2 linked regions of the Oryzias latipes genome follow. The main gene of each other region encodes a partner of the protein of the gene in region 2 in a complex. Links are inferred from orthologs where the notes say so. Each region holds a gene or a part of one and is shown on either strand. Other genes may lie near its edges. The genes, in order: pelo and hbs1l.

Region 1 (3,551 bases), on a different chromosome or scaffold from region 2:
AATGATACTAGGACACTTGGACTTTGGTCCATCCATTCCTGGGACATGTGAGATTTTCCTGGTGACCCTCAACTTATTGAAATTCATGTAAATAGTTTTGCTCAGTTGAAAATCCCCCGAGCATAATGCTTTAAGGTTAATTATGATTATGCTGTGTTTAGCCAAAATCATAAAATCTATTGTGTACTAGGACATAGTTTCTGCAGAGCGGCAGTACTTCATTAGAAGGAAAGCTTGTGGTTTATCGTTGTAGTTTCTACATCACACCAACAAGCTTTTTCCGAGGGCAAATTTTGACTGTCCGTGATTCAAAACAATAAAGAAATTCTCAAAAATGCTATTTTAAGCTTACATTTCTAACTACCGGTAAATGTCCTCCACTGTAAAAAAACAAAAACAAAAAAAACACAAGAACATGTTAAAAACACCAAAAACTGAGTCCAAGCAAGACGTTTTTGAAAGAGTTAATAATGCATTCATTCAGATTTATTAAACAGGAAAAGATTCTGTGTAAAAACTGTTTTTCTGCAGGTTTTTGCTCTGCAGTCCATAGAAAGCCATGTCATTTAACTAAAAATAACACATTTTCAAACATAGGATTAAAGTTGACACATACCAACTGGTGTAACTATTTTAAGGATTTTAAAAAGTAAAAATAATATTAGAAAGTGGCTAAACGTATTTTAAAGAGCTTTCTTCAATATTTTAAGCTGTCTTTGGATAAACTGCTGCTATAAAATTTGAAAGAACTTAGAAGCACACAATCGTGTTCAACCTTATAAGGTCTGCTGTTTACCTCATCATAAAAAGGCAGATTTAATCTGTTTTTGTGTTTATTTTACCTCAGTTAACCCTGATCCCAGGTAATAACCATGTTCCTGTAAATATCTGACTCAGATTTTTTGTTATTTTAAATTTCTGTTTGACCTCCACAGAACGTCGTCTCCCCAGCACAACCTAATATTTCCATATAAAAATATAGATTTATCTAAATATAAAGTTGTGTTTTTTTTTAAAGGTGAATAAATTTAAATAGAATCTTTTTAGAGGTCTGTCCTCCTGTCTGCCCACAGCTAATCAATGGGTAAAAATTCCCTCTGTTGGTTATTAGTCTATCCCCCACCTGACACAGTGTAGATATTTGGCCCATTTTCCCTCAAAGTGAATCAGGACTACACAACCCCTTTGTGGTTACTTGATGAACTACACCTGATTGCAGTTACTTTTGCTTTTAGGGGGACTTCAGTCTGGAAGTCAAAGTTTCTTTTTTGTTTTCCAAAGAAAATATTTACTCTTTTTTTTTTACTAATTGTTTTAAAAAAGACAATTTTACCATCAAACATTTGCTTGATGAAATCTTTCAGTGGATCAGTATAAATGTGTTTTCTCTTTGGGTTTCTTTCTGTGTAGGATATTCTCAAGCCTTCATGTGTCTGGAGAACGTAAGTATACAACTACACTAGTTTTAGAATTCAAAAAGTCTTTTAAAAGATTTTTCATTAATTTAAATGGGTTCAGTTATGCAAAAGACAGATGAACCCCCTTATGATTCTTTGTTTTACATGGTTTTCCCAATTGAAGGATTTAAATAAAACAAATTTAAGTTAAAAAGTGTAACAAATAAACTCAACGTGTCATTTTGAAATGAAAATGATTACATTTTGTATAAATTACAATGAAAACATCCAAACCCACGTGGCCTCTGTTTAAAAAAGGGATTTCCTTTATCGACTTAGCAATTAGAAACGACAACTGGAATCCGCGAAGGGACGTCTAAGGGCAGGAATGTCCAGTTTAGTTTAGTCTGTTAAGTTCAATTTAGTATTTTCTTATTGACTTCTATGTACTCATGATCCTTTTGATTTTATGTTTTACTTTTTCAATTACCATTACAAAGCCCATTGAGACGACTGTGGTGGTGAATTTGGGCTATACAAATAAAATGGAATTGAATTGAATCTGTTGTCCGAGTTAAGTGTCATGAAGGAAATCTGTGCCTTTTATTTTGGTACAATCAATGTAATTCAGACATACGAGGTTCTTTTAAGCATTACCCGCCTTTTTAAGGTTACACTACAGCATTCAAATGATATGTATGTCAGAAATTTCGGTCAGTCACTCCACTGTCTTCATCTTGTTCATGCTGCAGTGGACCTGCTGGTGGGTTTTAGATCATTTTCCCCACTGAAATCACTTTTCTGCACACACCACATGCTTAGTTTAGGCTTTATTTAGGTTTTCTAGGTTGATATTTTCCAAAATAAGAGCTGCATTGTCAACATTTTTTAATGTAATTCGGTCTTTATTTCATGAAATGCATCCTGAGCTGTGTTTTTATTGTCATTTAGAGCTGACTCAGCTGGGGGGAGTGGCTGCTATCTTGCGGTTTCCCATGGCAGACCTGTCAGAGCCGGAGGACGACAGCAGCTCAGATGAAGACTAAACTAACTCACGGGGAGGGAGGCAAAGCCGGGCCATGACGGCTGCAGAGGACATGCAGCAAATGAGCGTGTGGTTGATTATTAAACCAGCTGTGTTCCTCTTCAAACCCAACAGTTCAGATGTGTCCATTCTGAGTCAGAGGTGATTTTCTTTTATTCTGAAGTTGGCAGCAAAATATGCTAGTAGCAAGAATCTAATAGTTGCCAAATCAAAATGAAAAGAAATGGAACTTTGTAAGAACTGTAAAATCACAGGTTTTCCAAGTGTATATACGACTTTGTTCTTGCAATTAAATAACTAAAGCATGCAGTTACTTCGGTTTTACTTTGTCACATGAACATCATGCATGTATTTCATACAAATATAAAAATATATGGCATTTATTATGTACAGTTAAAACTCAGTTTAATGACCCATTTGGTCAAAAGCTGCTGCAAATATAACTAAATCAAGTATGTTCAGGAGTTTTCATTAAATACAGCAATAGTGAAGCTCAGCAGTGACAAAACTTTGGGTTCCTTTAATTCTTCTGTGGCAAAAGGCTAGATTAAAAACTTCTGGGAAGACTAAAGTGCATTATTTGAACTTCTTCCCTTAGTGCAAAGCCGTAACCCTTGTGCTATCCTAGGCACTTTAACATTGGGAGTTGGGTCATCTAGACCCCACAAAACAGTGCGCTGAACCTTTTTTCTTCAATGATTTGTGATCTTCACTGGTTTCCATGGATTACATGAAATCCTCTTCACCTTTCTCCACCTTTGTCATGGTAGGGAGAACACGTCAATGGTCTTCTTGACCCTATAGGATAGCACAAGGGTTAAGGTGAACCAGCTGCACGTGTCATCCCCCAGTAGGACACTGGAAGGACTTAATCCAGTTTAAATCTTCCATTGTGCCCCAGTGCATGTAGATAATCGAGCAGACAACCATCACATGCATTATCTGGTGGCTGTTGCCCCAGTTGTCAAACAAGCCTGGGCTAAACCGCTCTGGAATCTGGATGATGTTCACCAGTCCACCCAGCACAGCAAAAGCATCCATGATGACGAAGAGGCGCAGGGAGTTGGGACTGCCGACCCCGTTTCCGTAAACCCGGAACAGGAAGAGGC
Region 2 (3,239 bases):
AATATTACATCTATTGCATTTTCTTTAATTTTTAACACAAACAATAACCAAAAATGGAGGAAAAGAAGCAAATTTGCTAACGTTCTTCTCATTTCTCAACCTTTGGTGGTTAGAGAAGCAAAGTAAAGTGACAGTTGTATCCATATATATATATATATATATATATATATATATATATATATATATATATATATATATAAACTTGAAATTCAATTTCTGTGGGCAGCTTTAAAAAAGGTATGGACTGAGTCAGACCATAACCGTGAGAGCAAAGCAATGTTAGTTACTGATCAGCTTACAGAGAAACTTCGTCAGCAAACTGAGCCAACAAACCTGCAGCATTATGAAATGCTTTTGCAACCTCACAACTGTCATGCTATATTTGAGATTTCAGTTTGACGTTACAGGTCACCTGAAGGGATTTACCTTTTTTTTCTGTGCTTTAAAGTTGGGAAGAGCTGCTGTCTGAAGCCACGGGCGGCTTTTAAATGGAAGCTTGAAAGCAGCTTGATTGCTGAGTCATGGTTACCCTCTCGGCTAATGGGTTCCTGGTGTTTTCTTAGTAAATCTATTAAATGATAAATCTTCTTTTAATAATAAAAGATGACTTTCCTGCCATACTAATGCATTACTGATTAGCTTTCTTTAGTTCAAGGGTCGTAGGAGAAACAAAACCTTCTCTTTGTGACGTTTTTTTAAACTAGAAATCATTGTGAAACCCACATGAAACAAACGAACAAACAAAAAAAAGAAAAACAAGTCCCCATGAAGTGTTGCAAGTATGTAATCACTTTATTTTCCCAGGTAAAGTGTTAGACTTGGCGTCATTCATCTCTTCTTCGTGGTCTGGATGACTGTGCCTTGTGGAAAGGCAAACAATCTCACAATGAAACCAGATAAAGTATTTTTACCATGTTAATAATTTTGTTCTTCTGAATTACAATCATGTACTTTTGCATTTTAAAAAGGTCAAAACGTCTGCAGATGCTGTTTATTGATGTGCAGCATTATTATGCTCTTAAGCCTTTTTATACTGTTCTTGATTCCCAAATTAAATGTGATTTGTAAACAACAACAAAAATTCAAACCAAAAACAACTACTGTCACTCTCTTGGCACATCTTGATTCAAAATAAAAAATATTCAAACCTCTTAATCATGTAGGAAAACAAGATTAGCCCTTTCATTGTGCATTTTACTGCTTTACTAAAAATCTCCCTTGCAGAAGCATTTCATTTGTTTCTCCTCTCCCTCCTTTTTTTTTTGAATTTTCTGTTTGCATTCTACTCTACAGTTGTATGTGTGTGCAGCTTTTGTTGGTTAAAGCCAACAACGGATGCAGATCTGCACTGGATGGATGAACAGAGGGATAAAAATGGCACTCTATAGTCTGCGAGCGGCTCCTGTTGTTTCCAAGGCTCTGGCTCCAGCCAGAACCCAGGGAAAAGTCAGACTCTTTGACCCCGGCTGACCCCTGTGCTGGTGGAAACTCTTCATTCCTTGATCTACAGCAGAGAAAAGCACATGTATCAAAGAAGACAACCCAAAATTACAGAATTATAACCCTTTATAATCACCTCTGTAACAACTCCTGCAGCAATGGTGGAGCCCACATATCGCAGCATGAAGCGCCCCAGTTCTTTGTAGTCCTTGTACAGCTCTAACGGCACCGGCCTCTGGGTCTGGATCTCCACAATGGCATTCATACCCTTCGTCAAACACCTTAAAAATAAGACATATAAAAAGTAAATAAAAATCTCTTGAAAGAAACTGCAAAAAATAAAGTATCAATAAACTAGAAAAAAGCATTTTAACACCCCTTGTGTGCAAATAATCAACATGTTTTAAGCATTTAACATTAAACTATTTATTTTACTTTTCAAATCATAAAAGTTGTTCATATAAAAAATCCCTCAGGTCTTTGTGATGTACATTTGACGCACAAGCTGCATCAGTTTGCATCGGGTTAACGCACATCTCCATCTTCCCACGCATTGACGTGCAGCACAGCAGCCAGGTTTCAGTGGAGGACAAACAACAACGGCACAGCAGGAGAACGGAACACCCCGATGCGTTCAAGTGACACTGCAAAACGCTGTAAAAGTTTCATTCCCATCAACTCACTTTGGTTTCTTATTGAGGACTTCGCTGCTGGTCTTATGTAGGACACTTATTAGTTTTCTAATGGTGGCTTGCTCGCTGACTGTCTGGTAGTGCAACAGTACCTAAAGCCCAAATAAAAAAAAAAGTTAACACATTTCAACATTAATTTAAACAATTTTTTTCATTCAGAAATTAAAATTTCAGCTAAATGTAAGAAAACATTAACCTTTTATGTTAAAAAAAAACGTACATTTGATGTTTATTCCACTAAACTGTTTCATTCAGTTAAATTTGCAGTTTTTTGCATTTTGATTTTTTACAATCTTACTGGAAAGCCTTTTGTGATGGGAACCTCGATATTGAAAAGGAGGATTCTGGCTTTGAATCGAGTGCAGACTCGAATGGGCTCCTTGGGGTCACAGAAAACGCAGCCAACACTGCAGGGAGGAGTCAAAGCAAAGGGTTCAGTCTTCCAAGGGGAAGATTTCCTAGCCTGACATTTCTACATCAACAACACAATCATTTCTGCCATTTTGCCTTTTTTTTTTTTACTTCATTCATTTTGAACCATTTTTTTTTACTTCATCTTGATGATGTCCATTCCAGTGAGTGTAAGGCTGATGTGGTCTCCAGCTACCGCCCAGTCCAGAGCTTCATCATGTAGAGTGATTCCTGCAGAGAAGCCACAGGATGGCAGCGTTACTCACCAACACATCATGTCACCTTTGTGACATGATGATGCATCGTTGAGTTACCAAAAAAAAACAAAAAAACATTGCACAATCGGTCATGTTTACTTCAAAACAGCCAACAAACCCGTGAGAGATATCTTTAGGGAAAAAAAACAAATCAGTCGAAACTTTAGCTTTGCAGGAAACGGTTCACCTTTCACTGTGCAGGTTTCATTGGGAGGTATTGCCAGTATTCTGTCTCCCGTTTGAATATAACCAGCTTCGATCTTTCCGGTGACACAAAAGCCTGAACCCTGATCTAAAACAACAAATATACATATATTAATGGATTTATTTATTTAAGAGCAAGTATTTAGCAAAAAGCGTTTTTGCTCTGACTTTACCTTTGAACACATCGGAGACAGACAGTCTGAAAGGTTTATCTACAGATCTCTGAGGGGGTTTG

What was found.
Region 1: hbs1l (region 2) and pelo share a complex: the UniProt entries of both Homo sapiens proteins name them as parts of the pelota-HBS1L complex. The link is inferred for Oryzias latipes from reciprocal best matches to the Homo sapiens genes HBS1L and PELO.

Annotation. Positions count from the first base shown.
Region 1 is NC_019877.2:7,505,807-7,509,357, reverse strand, and holds the end of pelo (protein pelota homolog), read left to right. Parts: intron 1-1,410; coding exon 1,411-1,442; intron 1,443-2,348; coding exon 2,349-2,443; 3' UTR 2,444-2,755; downstream 2,756-3,551. Other genes in the region: progestin and adipoQ receptor family member 4, read right to left, coding at 3,283-3,551. UniProt on the Homo sapiens protein: Component of the Pelota-HBS1L complex, a complex that recognizes stalled ribosomes and triggers the No-Go Decay (NGD) pathway.
Region 2 is NC_019882.2:14,274,148-14,277,386, forward strand, and holds the end of hbs1l (HBS1-like protein), read right to left. Parts: coding exon 3,178-3,239; intron 3,093-3,177; coding exon 2,988-3,092; intron 2,775-2,987; coding exon 2,684-2,774; intron 2,540-2,683; coding exon 2,431-2,539; intron 2,225-2,430; coding exon 2,124-2,224; intron 1,722-2,123; coding exon 1,577-1,721; intron 1,505-1,576; coding exon 1,493-1,504; 3' UTR 767-1,492; downstream 1-766. UniProt on the Homo sapiens protein: GTPase component of the Pelota-HBS1L complex, a complex that recognizes stalled ribosomes and triggers the No-Go Decay (NGD) pathway.